2 linked regions of the Rhinolophus ferrumequinum genome follow. The protein of the gene in region 2 purifies or fractionates together with the protein of the main gene of each other region. This does not show direct contact. Links are inferred from orthologs where the notes say so. Each region holds a gene or a part of one and is shown on either strand. Other genes may lie near its edges.

Region 1 (7,680 bases), on a different chromosome or scaffold from region 2:
TTGTTTCTGATAGCAGGAACGCGACTTCTACATACTTTATTTCTGTCAGAACCTAAAGAAAAATTATTGTGATATTAGTCATTTCAATCATACATTTTATCATCATTAAAAAGCATCCGCTCTGTGCTAAGGCATAGAAATGATTGCTCTTAAAAGTTCTCTTTAAGGAGGGACACGTAAACTCAAAACTTCAACCACGAGATATAAAACATAAACTATGTGCGAAGACATTCCCATGGAAGCTGAAAGTTATATTTCAGTGATGGCTTCAAGATAACTCTGAAGTTGAATCTAGAAAGATGACAATAGCTACAAAGAGCGGGAGGTGCATTAACTGCAGAGGGAGCATAAGTGCGAAGACTTCCAAACCTGACACCTGCTGGACACTGGCAATATTGCAGGTGGGGATGAACAAAGGCCAGGTGTGCAAGAGGGAGAAGAGACAGAAATTAAAATAGAATGGTTGGCTGAAGCAAGCTTGGGAGAGAGTGTGGCCTTTATCCCACAGGTGACGAGGACCTGGGCTACTATTGGAACAGTTTCTATTGGAACAGTTACTATTGGAACAGGGTAGAAAAAGTGCTCCTCTGCTATAACAACAACTAGTTAGATAAAGGGAATGATTAGAAAAAGCACCCCTTCCTCAGGGCCAACTAGCCTCCTGAGACTTGGCAGAGCACAGCTCAGATTTCATACTTCTGTGCACAACACAAGCTGAGCGCACCAACATGCACTAATCCTGTGGGAGTGGGCCATTATAAGCATTATTTTAAGCATATCTTTTCGTTTTAGATGATCACTCAAGACGAGTAGGCAGATGAATTGAGAGAAACTGAGCTCAGAGGCAGCAAAACCAGCTAGAAGCTTCTGCAATAGTCCAGGTAAAATGTAATTAAGGATGAAGAAACAAATCTAGGACATTAAAATCTACAAGCTAGACCCACTGGACGCAAGCGACAAAGGTTCAGTGAAGGAACTCTGAAGAGAATGGTCTCTGCAATACATTTTTCTTACATTCAATGTAAAATATTAAGCAAGATTAAGTACAGAATGGCCTTGACTGGAATTGAGATCTCTTCCAACTGGAATTTCTCTTGATTTCTAAGTTATTACTTTGGTTATGTCAAGTCCCTTCAGAGGCAGAGAACAGTTCCTACACCTGAATGAGAGGCAGAGAATAACCTGAATAATCTAGTTCTCTTATCTAGGTGATGAGTTGAACTGTCCTTGCAGGAGAGGTAACATATGGCACAAACCCCAGAGCCTAGAAAAGAGCCAGGCACATGACAAGTGTTCAGGTTTTTTAAAATAAATCAATAATTATTTCCTTTTCTAAACCTTCACACCCTCCCTCTCTGTTGGCTACTTTTTCTCAGCTGATAAACAATTAAGTGTGTCCATCTAAAACAAACATTCAGACCTAGATTTTCTGGATCTTCTTTGTGGGTCACCGCAGTCCTCTCCCATGTTTTCAAACACCTGTCCTCCCATAGAGCACAGATCTGTACCCTGGGCTAGACCTGTCTAGCAGACACGTTTGGATGTCCCACAGGCTGCTTTTAAAGCATCAGATACGAAGATCCTCTCCCCATTCCCGATCCCTTTCTACTGTGTTCTGCGTGTCACAGATGAAGTGCTGCTTTAAATTATCACTCAAGCTTGCTGCCCTCCCGCTTCTATTCTCTTTTGATCTCTGTAACCCAGTCCTCCCTACCTGTACCTTTTATTGTGGCCCTTAGATTACAAGTTGCCCTCTTCCCCCATCAATTGCCTTGCATATGAACGTGAGCTTCCAAATCAAAAGTGCATCTCATCATCTTTGAGTGGTTCCCACAGCCTAGAGGACAAACATCCAACTTTTTGACAGGACAAACAAGGCCCCTTCCCGTTTGGCCCTCACCAGGTTTCTAGTCTCAACCCTCACTTCTTTCTCAAACCTGAAGTCCTACTTCTGTACCTTAGTTTTGCCGTATATCCTTATATTTCTCAAGCTTTGACGCAAGCAGCTCCCTCCTGCCATCTGAGTAGCTTCTACATTCTTAGAACGGATGGCACCTCCTCCAGGAAGCCTTCCCTGAAACTTCTCTTCAAATATTCTGTCTCTGCAGCACCATAACTCACTTTTTCCAGAGTACCAACTACGGTGCTTGTGTTCACTTGCAGCCTCCCCCAGTAGAAAGGGAGATCCTCTAGGGCCGGAGCCTAGTGTCCAGCAGTGCTTGATGCTGACTGAGCTCACTCAAGTGCCAGGATCCTTCATACACATAACCTGCAAATTCTAAGAATCCATGGAAAACGTGGTTTTTAATGCCATTTTACAAGTGTGGTGATTGTAGTTCCAAAGTAACTTGCCCAGGTCACAGTGTAAGCGCTGGAATTCAAACCGTAGGCTGCATTCACACCTATGCTCTTTCCACTATATAATGCTACTATTGAAAGTTTTCCCCCTAACAGATCTTTGTCTTAAAATGAAGTGAAAGTGTGGGATGTATCAATTTCCTAATCGCTTTGTTCTACGTTAGGCAAAATCATTCAATAAAACTCGGTAACATCTGTCGAATGCTTAATGATGTCCCGAACTGTGCTAAGCGCTCTACAAGCATTAACTCGGCGAATCCTTGCAACTACAGCAAAGAATGGGTCCTGTTAAGCCCATGGTACAGTTAAGAAAAGAGACCTAGAGGCTTTAAGGGACTTGCCCAGAGTCACCGAGCTGGTGAGCCTCCTGGGCCGCACGCACCGTCCCCTGGATACACACCCCGACGCTGGGCACCCGTTCCAGCGCCCAGGTTCCACCTTGCACCGTTTAAAATCCCGCTTCACGGCACCAACACGAGGGCCGGTGGAAGCTGGAACTACAAACCTATTTCGGCAAGCCACGGCTGGAAGAAGCTTTTGATAGAGACCAGGGGCAGATCTTTATTAATCTTGAGCGTGCTCAGGAGCGGCGCCCAGTCCACCAAGCGGAGGCGGTCGGCGTTGAAGTCCAGCACGCCCTCCCGCAGGCAGGCGCGCACGGCGGGCAGCGGCACCGAATCCTGCAGCGCGCACCGGTACTCGTAGTGGGAGAAGAAGTCGGCCGCGCTGTCGCGGCGCAGCTTCACCGAGTCGATCATGGCCAGAGGGCAGCCTCGGGGGACGCCGGCGGTGGAGGCGCAACCCGCACCCGCCTAGAGCTCCAGGTCGCTGCCTGGCCCCTCGGACGCCCACAGCTCAGCGGCGGCGGCGCGTACCGTGTGCGGGAGCAGTGGCTCGGCCAGCACACGCAGGGCCCGGGACCCGAGCTAGGCCGCCCCTCCACACCGCGCTCGCAGGCCGTTAGCGCCCGCCTCATCACTCTCCGCGGCGCGGGACTGCGTTTCAAGCCGGCGGGCGGATGCCCGCGGGGGCGGTGCGCCAGTGCGTCAGCGCGCTCGCCGTGCGTCGGCACGCAGGCCCCGCCTCTCGGGGAGACGGCGCAGGAGACTGAAGGGCGGGACTTTCGAGGCGAGGGCGATGCGAGAGGTATGTGGTTTTAGGACTTTGGGGTTCCCTCCAAGGGAATCCGAATGAAAGTGTGCTATGGAGGTAGCAACGCATTTTCAAAGGTATTCCGGACACCTCCTAAATATCTGTGCTTGCAGCGCCCGGGAGGGTACAGTTAAAAAGGATGTAGAAACGACTGTGGTCCATTACATCTTTCAAATCTGTGTTAATTTCTGCAAAGAACTTTTCATTTCTGTAGTTTCTACTCATCTCACACAGTTGTTGGCAAATTGTAGAGTATTCCACGCATTCAGAACATTGTTGTGGTTTCTAGTAATTTCTTTGTACTGAGGATGATGATGATGGTTAACTGTGGTCACTAGTACTTTCTGTCTCCTAGGCGTTATTCTAAGCACTGAGTCAGTATGAAATCATTTAATTTTCTTAACAACTCCGCAGAAAGTTTACTATTGTATATCCATTTTACAAAAGAGAAACCGAGGCACGGGAAGTTAAGTAACTTCCAGCTAAGTAAGTGGAAGAACTCAAGACAATTGGTGTTAAATTAATTAAACAATGAAGTCGTTAGACTGATGTGGCTCGAATGCTGTGGCGACCTACATACGAAAACCAAAGCCTAAGCCTTAAATGCCTCACTGTTATGAAGTCAAAAAGGGAGGGACAAGCAATCACAAGCAGTCAACTAGGCTTTAAGCTATAGTCAGTCAATAATTTCCTTGCTTTGCTTTCTTTTTTATTTTTTTTTATTTTTAATTTATTGGGGTGACAATTGTTAGTAAAGTTACATAGATTTCAGGTGTGCAATTCTGTATCACATCATCCATAAATCACACTGTGTGTTCACCACCCAGAGTCAGCTCCCCTTCCATCACCATACATTTGATCCCCCTTATCCTTATCCCCCACCCCCCAACCCCTTTGCTTTCTCCTTTTTCCTATGAAAGTCTCTCCCCAGCTCCCACTGGTGGAGCGCTCCTAACCACTTCCAGTTTGATGCTGCCTGATTTGAATTGATTTTTGCTCACATAAACTTAAAAATTTAAATACGCTTCAGTTTATCTTTCAACATTGACCTCATAACCTGTACGTATTTATATCCAGTTTCTAGAACAATGGTAGTCCTCCACCCAGGCCTCAGGCATTATGTTTACAGCATTGCTCTCCCATCCACTGCATTCCGGATACCCCCACCCACTACCAACATGCGCACACTCCACTAAAATTCCCTAGATGTGGTCAATAATGACTTCTACATGCAACATGCTCAAACTATAATATAGTCATGCACCGCATTAACCGTTTCGTTTAATGATTGACTGTATTTACGATGCTGGTGTACTATATAGCCTAGGTATATAGGCGGCTATACCATCTAGGTTTGTGTAAATGCACTCTGTGATGCTCGCACAATGACAAAATTGCCTAACGATGCATTTCTTAGAACATAGCCCCGTCATTAAGTGCTGCATGATTGTGTAGCAAACATTCCTCTACCCTCCGACCAGCTTATGAAATGAAATATCACCATTCCTGTTGAAGAGCCACTCTCCCAATCACAACCACTCTCTAATTGACCTTGGATACCTCTCTTCTGAACTTTGTATTCATCATTGCAATGTATGTCTGTATATTTCTGCTATATTTACAAGTATTTTTAAACAGCATATAACATTGTACTATGTTTTCTTCTGCTACCTCTTTATTTAGTGTTATCTTTGCTAGGTTCATCCATGCTAATTTGTAAAGATCTAGTTCATATATTTTCCTTGCTGTATAGGATTCCCAAGTAGGAAAATGCAATAATTTGTCTATTTTCCTGTTGATGGAAGTTTAAATTGTTGTCAGTTTTCAGTATGATTTCTTTGTTACTACATCCATTTTTATAGTCTTCGGCATCACTTAATGTAGTTGTCCACTATCTTCTTAAATCTTCCTTTTTTTCCATGTAGCCACCTAATTCCACTTCTCTAATTCCTTCTTCTCTGTCTCACTCTTGGGTGTCTCTTGCTGATTCTAAATGTTGGTGTTTTTCAGGTTCCCATCCTCAGTGTCCACCCTTTCTGACATTTCACAATTTCGCTGGGCGATCTGATCCCCTGCTCAGGCTTAACTTCCACTCTAGGCTGATGACTTCTAACGAAGATCTCTTTCTCCATACCTAAGACTGCTTTGTGGAAAGCTAAAGATTGTGCAGTGCCTGCAGTGTCAATTTTGTATTTTTTAGCTTGCTACATAGGCTCCTTCATGATTTGACTTATTTCTTGCTATATTCTTCCCTGAATGTCCCCTCAACAAGTGAAACTGCTTGAAGTTTCTGATGTTCTATTATTCCTACCTGGGACTTTACAGGTACTGCTCCTTTGCCTAGGACCCTCCTCCTCCACTCCCTCCTTACTGGGCTGCCTTCCACGTGTTTCCCAGCTTCAGGTTGGGGATCACCTTCCCTGGGAGGCCTTCTTTCCCTAGTCCTCATCTCTCCTTCCCTGCTTGTTTAGTGCCTAACTGCTCTGCTCCCTGACATCCCTGTATGGTAACACTTAGTGTATCTAATAATAAGCATCTCTTTAGGTGGTTTTCCTTCCATAAACCATAACTCCTTTGAAGGCAGGGACCATGTCTCATTTATGCCTATATTCCCTGTGTCTAGCACAGTGTTGGTACATAGGAAATGCTGAATAATGACTTTTGGAGCATTCTCCTCTATTCTCTCTGGAAGCCATTATCAACACCTTGTGGCCGCTGCCTACAGATGCAGCTCAGGGAAACCTTCGTCATATTAACATACTCATTTTAAATTTACTTTCCCCAAGCTTACTTATTTTCTGTCTGGCAAGATTTCTTTCAAGGCTTAATATTCTGATAATCACTCTTCTATTTCCATTTAAATATGGCTTAATAGTTCTTTTGGCTCCTACCTTAGTTCTCCTTTTGGCATCTGGCGAGTTCTACCCACATGCTTCCCTGAACAGTGAGCAAAAGCTGCCTCCATACAGCACCTCTGGGATCCTCTAACAAACCATGGTTATGCCTGTCCTAAGACAAAGTGCTTGGGCTTCCCTGCAGGTACATGACTTGGAAAGAACATGCAGTACAAGAGATGGGCTCTCCTCCTTCAGGGGTCTGGTGAGTGAATGTTTGGCTAGAATACAGTTAAGTGGGATCGTTTTACCTCTGATTCACTGTACTCACTCCTAGTCCACACTGACAACATGATACTCAGACTGTCAAGCCAACCTACCATTCCATGGGACCTCAGTGCTAATGCTGTCTGCTCATCTCTAACATTCATCATCTCTGGACCTGCTTTTAGAGGAATGAGTTTGTTAGGTCCAGTCCCAAGCTCTGACAAAACATAGGCTGTTTTATTTTAAGTGACATGTGGTCCCCATTTCTTTTTTTCTACTCCCTTACTTACAGCTATTCACAGTGGTTCTTCCAAACCGCCTCCATTTTCATGTCACCACTAGACTCTGCTCTCTTACCTGAAGAGGATACCTCTTATTTCACCAGGAAAATTAGGTTTCAGACACAGACTTCCTTGTCTTCTTTCCACTAACGCTGGCCACCTTCCAACCTATGGTCTATAATGCAGCCGCCACCACCTCCTCTTCAAATCCTTTGGTGACTTCTTATTGCTCTTGCATAAAGACACACTTCCTCACAACGGTCTAAAATAATGCTACTCAACATGAAGTCCACAGACTGGCTGCTGGTTGAGAACTGTTACTGTTCTTTAAGATAAGAAGTTTGCTTCAGAATGAAAATCATGTCTGTTTAGTTCAGCAGACAAGACTTTCTTGATGAAGGAAGCAGTATGTTGAGTTCCGTTCTAGAACAGCTCCTTATCTCATTGTGTACTGGCACTTTGAGTGCAACAGTCTACAGGGCACTGCATCCCCTGGGCATGATGGAGACATGATCTCTGCAGCCTTGTCTTGTGCCCCACTCCCTTTCATTCTCAGTAATCCATCCTGCAATGGCCTCCTTTCAGGCCTGCTTACTTACAGTGGTTCATTTTACACTGTAAGTAAGCCATGGTACTTACACCATGGTACACCTCCCAAGGTTCTTTGATTATGTCATTACTCAGTTCCAAACCTTCCATGACACCTATTGCCAACACAATACAGCCCAAACTCTTAAGATTGACATTTAAGACCATCCATAAGTTGGCTTTAATTTCTCTTTTCAGAC
Region 2 (8,034 bases):
CCTGGTGGCAATGAATGTGTCTTTGGGAAGGTAGAATCACCTTTCCTCTCTCGTTTAATTAAATTACATTCTGTAACTACTGGGAGGAAAACATATGGTGGAAAGAGTATGTGTTGGGAACTGAATAGACTTGGTGGTTAATCTTAGCTGCCAGCTGTGTCACTGGATAAGCTACCTAACTTTTCTGAGCATTAGTTGCAACAAAATAACAAGTAACTCAAAAAAAAAAACATCAAGGAGAGAATGAAATGAGGTTGTACATACAAAACAACTACTAACAGTTAATACTTATTGTATGTTCTGTGCTTCAGACATTCAGTTCTACCTACGTATAGCAATCATTCTATCATTCTAACTACCTGCACGGGGAGATTTTTACCCCGTTTACAAATGGGAAACTGGGGCACAGAGAGATTAAGGAACTTGCTACAGTCAACACCACCAGAAGTGAATTTGAACCTGTGTCGTGGGGCTCAAAAGTTCCTTCTGTAACCGCTACACAAAACCTGGTATCAAGTCCTTGTTCAAATGATGAGCTAAGCAATTTCAGTAAGTGTGATAACTATTCCAATGGGAGAGACGCAGGCTTCTTCTCCTTCCCCAGCATGCTGCTGGCTTTTGCACAAACTATAAAACATTTATGGAAACACATAGGCCATTGAGCACCTTAATCATTCTCCACCTCTATGTAAACTATCCCGACCCTGACACACACAGGATGGCTGACCTCAAGAGAGAAAGCATGGATATTCCTAAGTTCACACTGAAAGGCTACCACCGTGGTTCAGTACACCTTTTCTATGTTTGACTGTTAAAGACACAGGGACTGTCTAGGCCAAAAATGTGCGACTGGGAAGTCAAAGGCATTTCCCCTGCTCTGGCCTCCTGCGCTCCCTGTCAGAGTCTGGTTGCAGAGTTGGTCCCTGTAGCACATTTGTAGCTCAGATCCATTCTCTTCTCTGCACCATCGCTGCAGCATAAGTCCAGGTCCTTCCTCTTTTTTTTTTTTTTTAAAGGCAAGTTGTCTTTAATTTTAGGTGTCAATCTGAAATATGCTGAATAAGTATATGTTCACACAAAAGCTTGTATACGAGTTTTCATAGCAGCATTGTTCTTGACAGCCCAAACTAGGAAACAAGGCAAATATCCATCATCTGATGAATAAACAAACAGCGTTGTAATACAGGGTCTCTGGTCCAGCCCTCGGCAGGTGGACAGAGAATATGGTGAGGCCAAAAAGGAACACCCACGGAGCCACAGATAGGGGTCATACCACTATATTCTCAATGGCAGCTGGTAGAGATACAAAAGTAAACATCCGCCAGTACCCCAACAGGGGGTCTTCCTGCACCCCAGTCTCACTGGCAGCCAGGCCCAGGCAAGACACAGGAAGTAGGATCAACAGGATCCGCAATCTGCCATCCGTGCTTGCTAACCCCACTTGCTAGCTGCAATCCGCACTTGCTAGCATAGCCACGGCAGTTGAATCAGTGGCCAATGGCTAACTGGTTACAGCTGATGGCCATCTGATCACAGCTGATGGCCTCTACTACCCGAGCCAGCACCTTTCCACGTGAGGTCGAGGGCCTGGAAACTGCTCTCTGGGACTCTGTCCCCACAGGCGTTCATCCATTCAATGGACTATTACCCAATATTGGTAGTAAAACATTAATCGTTGGTAGGAAATGCAGTAGGGACACAGGCTACAACATGGATGAACCTTGAATACATTAGGCTACGTGAGAGAAGCAGGTCACAAAAGACCACGTTATATGATTCCGTGTATAGAAATTGACCAGATAGGCAAAATTACAGAGACCTCAAGTAGAGTCATGTTTGCCTAGGGCTGCGGAGTGGGGTGCAGAGTGAATGCCAGTGAGTATGGGGTTCCTTTTAGGGGCACGTAACTATCCTACAACTACAATGTGATGATGCTACACATTTCCGTAACTACCAAAATCATTGTACACTTTAAATGGATGAACATATATTTGAATTATTTCTCAATAAAGCTGTGAAAAAAAGAGCATCATGTAGAATAGCTGGGATGAGGAAGTGAATTAAATAACATAAAATCGTCAACTGTGCAGTTGTTCCTTCTTTATAATGTTCTAACATAAAATATGGAGACCAAATTGGTAAAAATAAGAACAAGCTAAATGTGAAGCACATAATTAGTATCACATTTAAGGGCATTTTTTTTCATCGTTTTAACCTTAAACCATCAATTTTGGTGAGATATGAAAATTAATAAGTTAATAGCTGTCTTAACTGCCAAGCCAACCAGTGATGCATTTCCCATTTCTTCCTTCTTAATTTAAGGCTTATTTGGGATATTCTTTAAATGTAATAGTATGTTTTCCTTCAATTATTAAAAATTTTAAGCAACAATATTAAAAGTCCCATGTTTACGACTATATAGATGGCGACATCTGCAGCCTTAAATTCCTCAAGGAAATGGATGTTTTCAGACAGAGCTTTATTAATTTACTTTATTAATTTTATGATAGGAAAAACGCATGTATTTTAGGGCAAATTCCCTCATTATATAAGCCACTCCCCAGGAGTAAAGAGGTACATTAACTCTTTTGATGAAGCAGTAATTGAAATAATTAATACCATAGTGACTTGGAAAGTTATCTTCTAAAGCTGCTAAAAGAAATGAAATAGAGAATTGTAGTTTAGCTGACAGAGGAGCTCTAGTTGCAGACCTAGAAAAAGTCAAATAAGAATCAAGTGTGACTATTTAATAAAGAAAATCCCACGTGTTTCCAATAAAAAAAAGAATCAAGCGTCCCTTCCACCGCCATCACTCCCTCACCCCCGCCCCCACTCACTCACTCCTTGTTCCTTTCACTGAGCCCCACCCTGCCCCCCCCAACCCTCCCTACGAGGTCCTTTTACTCTGGCAGGAGGTTCGCTTTTCATTACTTAGCATGTTTACGCTGCTTACATAACACTTACCTTTTCATTGTTTAGAATATTAGGAAAAGTTCCTCTCTTTCCCGGATTTCAGTATTTCAACTCGTAGGAAATGAGCTGCATCATTTTCTGAGTAACTTTTTGATCTTAGACAAACCTTTCTGAGTCTCAGCTGGCTCATCATATCATCATCTACAATGTTCATGGTTATCATGCAGATAAAGTTTAATGATTTACTGCATGGAGCTTAAATTATGGCTCATTGTAGATGCTAAATGACAGCTGTTCATTGATGGTCCTCTGTATACATACGACCGTACTGAGTAGTAACAGTGTCACAGAAGAAGTATGCTGCAGTCTCCGACTGACTTTTAGGAACTTACATTCCTTTCTTAAAAAAAAAAAATGTAATTTTATTATTTCTTTTATTACATGCATGTGGTAATAGGTTCAAGGAATTTACAGCTATTCCATATGCCAAGAAATTAGTGAGCTCTTTCTCCTTGAAATCTGATGAAATAATAGAATCTGCACAGTAAATTTTCTGTAGAATTCCTGATAAGCGACAGAATCTACACAACAAATTTTCTTTAGCATTCCTGATAGGCGATTAACCTTCCTTTTCGAGTGGAGTCCAGGCCCGTCTTTCTCCCCACTGGGCTCCTGGATTGTTCAACTGTCTCCAGTGTCACTGCATCCAACTCACCCCTCCCCTCTTGCTTCTGGATGCTTCTAAAACCCAAATGAGCTAATGTCACATTCCTTTTCAAACCATGTTTAGCTTGCTATTTCACACCTTCAAGATGAAAGTCAAACTCATAGTATCAGTGGCTAATGCCCTTGCTGATCCATTGACTTCCTGTCTCCAGCCCACTTGCCATCCCTGCACAGAGCACACTGCCCTGTGCCTCTTGGCCTTGGTGCTCTGGGCTGTTAGGCTCTGTCTGCGCAGAATGCCCCTTTCTTTTTCAGGCATCAGTAAACCCCCCACTACGATTGTGTATCTCACGTCAAGTGTCCTGTCCTCCAAAAAGCCATCCCTGTCCCTTGGTCGTGCAGGGTGTTAGGTGGGGGTCTCCTGTCCCGTTCCCCGCACAAGAACGCAGGATGTGGTGAGGCCTAAAAGGAACACCCATGGAGCCATAGATAGGGGTGTCATACCACTATAGTCTCGCTGGTGGCTGGGTTGGAAACACAGGAAGCAGGAGCCACACTATCCGCAATCTGCCATACACTTCTCTGTCAACCAACCAACCCCACTTGCTAACTGCAATCCACGCTTGCTAGCTCAGCCACCACCTTCTTGCCAGCCCCCATTTGCTGCTAGCGTAGCCACTGCAGTTATATTAATGGCCAATTGCTCATTGGTTACAGCTGACGGCCAACCAGGCACAGCTGACGGCCATCCAATCACAGTTGATGGCCATTTACTACCCTAGTGAGCACCTTTCCACGTGAGGCCGAGAGCCTGGAAACTGCACTCCTGGCTCTGTCCCCACAGACCTGCTTTACATGACTAAGTCTGGGATAAGGGGCTTGGTTTGAGTGCCCCAGAAGCAGACCAAGAGACAACAATTGAGTGTAAACAGTTTTTTGGGAGGAGATCCCAAGAAACACCGGTGGGGTAGTGGGGAAACAGGACAAGGCAGGGAAGGAAACGACAAAGGCTGTGCTATCAACTTACTTGTCTGAAACGTAACTTACTTTTAACCAAGTGGCCCCGCCCCCATCCCACTGCCTCACTCCAAGTTCCCGGGTCCCCCCGCCCCCAAGCCAAGGACCCAGGGCCTCGCTCCGCCCCAAACCCCGGCCCCGCCCTACCCGATCCATGCCACAGCCCCGCCCCTGACGCCCCGCCCTAGGCCCCGCCCCCGGCGTCAGGTTGCGCTCCGAGGCCCCGCCCCTGGCGTGAGGGGCTGCGCACCGGCGCCGGGGCGTGGTCTCGTTCGCGTTGCCGCACGCCGCGAGAAATCTGCGGCGGCCGTTGGCCGTTGGCGCGGCTTGGCCGGTTGTCTTGGAGAAGCAAGATGGCGGCGACGGCGGCTGCGGTGGTGGCGGAGGAGGACACCGAGCTGCGGGACCTGCTGGTGCAGACGCTGGAGAACAGCGGGGTCCTGAATCGCATCAAGGTGGGGCGGGAGACCGGGCCGGCAGGGCCTGGCGGAGGGGAGGCCGGCCGCGCCTGCGGGCCGTGGAGCATGTGTGGACGGTTGGCGTCACAAAGGGACGCGGGGTGCGTCAGGCTGGCCTCCCGGGCAGGGTCCGGGCCCGTGGGCGGGGGCGGGCGACCTCGGGGGTCGAGGGTCACTCCCAGGGAGACCCCGGGCCGCGCGGCGCCTGCGGGAGAGGAGGCCGAGCAGCGGCTTGCGGGCGGTTGAGTCGCCCGGCGCTCCTCGAGTCCCGGGCGGTGGCGGGGTTCCCTCCGGGTCGCTGTAACTGGCGGGCTGCCGGCCTGGCGGGGTGTTTCTCGGCGAGTCCAGCTCAGACCTGTCGGGGCTCGTAGGCTGGGCTAATCCGGAGGGTGGCTGCGGAGGGACAAGGCCAAGGGGCGCGGAGAGCTTGGGGCACTGTTCCAACGCCTCTGGGGGCTTTTCTGGCCTCTTTGCACCTGCCCACTAAGCATTGTCTTGCCAGTGTGCGTTTTTGACTTCAGATGGTGTGGGTGGTGCCAGTGGAACTGAACGTCCTATGCTTTTCTTGTCCTGAAAATTGTCTCGAAGCAGTTTCTGTTCCATTACCCCCCAACTCTCCCCCCCTTTTTTTAAAGGCTGAACTCCGAGCAGCTGTGTTTTTGGCACTAGAGGAACAAGAAAAAGTAGAGGTATGAAATCTACGAATTTTAATATGACTATGTTCATTTTTGTGTCGTTTCTACTTAAAATCCATTGTAAAATACTACACGTGGTCGTGGGCACGCAGGGATCATTTTGAACTATTAAGGATTACGTTTCTTTACAATAGAGTGAACATTAACCTTTTTGTGTATATTTCAGAACTTTGGGACAATCTGAGGAAAGTTAAGGAACCACAGTACTCCTGAGGCCAATCTGAATCTTAAGTGTCATAGATCCTCTTGTATTGGGGACATCTGAAACACAAGGTCATGGGAGCTAGTGGAAGAAATGCTTCTATTCTCAGAGTTTACTGCAGGACTCCTCAGAACCTTTCCTATGCATTGTGAATCCCCACCAGCTGGGGGAAACACAGTATGCCGGTTTTCCCCAAACTGTCAAGACCACCTAGTTATTTTAAAATCATGTCATCTTTCTTGCTGTCACAAGTCCAGCCTCCTCTCTGTATTTAAGTGTTTAGTCTTTTCTCCCTACTGCAAGTCTCACCACCACCCTGAGTAAAGGTCCTGGATCCTTGTCCACATACGCACTCCATAATGAAGGTCTTCAGCTTGTTCTGTGACAAATCAGCCTCCTCTCCTGTCACTTCTTCAGACCTAGATGCCTGTGCCTCTCTAACCTCATGAACCTCTTCAGCTCTTGGCTCTTGGGTGTTCATCCAAGCATCAGTCCTCTCTTGGCTGCCGTTCGGCCCTGACTGGTCTGGACCCCATGGTCCAGATCTCCAGAAGCCTGACTGCCTGGCCTTCCCGCTATACTTGGTAAATCTCATTGGTCACTTAATTCAACAAACTAACTCCCTTCTTGTTTGTCACCCAAGCCTGTGGATTGCTGGTGTCACTGAACGGTGGTTGCAACCTGAGCAGGGCCCTGTCAGGCCCAGGCCTCTGCTGTCTGCGTAGCAGCTCCCACTCCAGCCTCACCATAGCCTTCTGCCCGACCCCCTTCTTCATCTTGACAGCGGGTCTTGTCTCTCCCTTGCAGGGAAACAGAAGCCTCAGGCGTCAAGCCCTCACTGTGTGTGTCCTCCAGCTACCCTGCGTCTGCACGCTGCACTTCTTTCCTTCCTGCTTGCTATCGGAGGCTCTTTCTTCACCAAGAATCATCACTTTCTCTGGGTTTGCCGTGCTGGTACTCTCGGCTCCTCCCTCTTTGTTGGCTCTTTTGAGCGTGGAAACAAGTTTATATCTCAAGGAGAAAGCTGTTGCCCTCGTCTCATGTTCTGCTTTTAATACCACTTTTTTCCCCCCACTGTCAAGTTTTGAAAGAATGTGTATGTCTTATACGATTTATATTCCAGGCACCTTTTAATCCATTAACGTCTTATGCTACACCTTAGTACTTTCTTTTGCTGCTGTCAAGAAGAATCCTAAGTGAGTATATGTTCTTACCTATCTTAGTGGCTCTTTGTGGCATTTGACATTCTTAATTCCTTCTTCCTTCCTGAAAATCTTTGAATTTTGGGACTTTTTTCTCTTTCTTTTTCCTTTGTGCATTCCTTGGTTTTTGCAGCATGACCTTTTCCTGGACACCGCACTTGAATTCTTGGTGCAGTATCCACAGTCCCTGTCTGGGTTCTCTGCCTGGGTGACCTTGACCACCTCAGTAACTCAGCCCTGTATCTCTGGGCCTTATCGCCCTCCTGAGCTGCCGACTGTAGGTCACACTGTTTGCCTACGGGGACCGTCACTTATCCAAGTTGGAAATCCGAGAGCCCTTGCTCTTCTTTCCACATGTCTGTCAGTTCTGTACCTGAGGTGTCTGAGGAGGTTCTCTGCTGACCTCCTGGCCTGCGCTTGATCTTTCCAAATCACTTGACCCCTGCCTTCTCTCCTTCACTGGTAGTCCTGACGTCTTTCCTCCACATCGCTCCTAGACTGGCTAGTCCTAACTCACGTTTGATCTTGCCCCTCCGTTTTCTTCAAATATTTCAGTTGACCCAATGTCTTCAAATTTCCTGGACCAGCCTACTGAGGACCTTTGTGATCTTTCCCCTTATCTTTTTTGGGTTTTCTTAAAACTTGATTGAGGTACACTTGACCTACAGTAAACTCAGCATACTTAAAATGTACAATTTGATACATTATAACATACTTACGCACCCATGGCACAGTCAAGATGGTGAACATATCCATGACCCGCAAAAATTTCTTCCAGCCCCTTGGTAATACCTCCACCTCCACCTCCAACTCTGGCACCCAAGTGTTCCTCAAAGCTGTGCAAATGGAATCACACAATCCGGACGTTTTTCCTTTTTGTT

The links. The genes of interacting proteins can lie anywhere in the genome.
Region 1: the proteins of CEP43 (region 2) and CEP78 purify together in Homo sapiens (affinity purification with mass spectrometry; 3 studies listed by BioGRID and IntAct, with this or other methods). This does not show direct contact. The link is inferred for Rhinolophus ferrumequinum from reciprocal best matches to the Homo sapiens genes CEP43 and CEP78.

What each region holds. Positions count from the first base shown.
Region 1 is NC_046295.1:42,818,737-42,826,416, reverse strand, and holds the start of CEP78 (centrosomal protein of 78 kDa), read right to left. Parts: upstream 3,214-7,680; 5' UTR 3,117-3,213; coding exon 2,864-3,116; intron 53-2,863; coding exon 1-52. UniProt on the Homo sapiens protein: Centriole wall protein that localizes to mature centrioles and regulates centriole and cilia biogenesis. Involved in centrosome duplication: required for efficient PLK4 centrosomal localization and PLK4-induced overduplication of centrioles.
Region 2 is NW_022680354.1:1,061,576-1,069,609, forward strand, and holds the start of CEP43 (centrosomal protein 43), read left to right. Parts: upstream 1-4,844; 5' UTR 4,845-4,949; coding exon 4,950-5,051; intron 5,052-5,689; coding exon 5,690-5,743; intron 5,744-8,034. UniProt on the Homo sapiens protein: Required for anchoring microtubules to the centrosomes. Required for ciliation.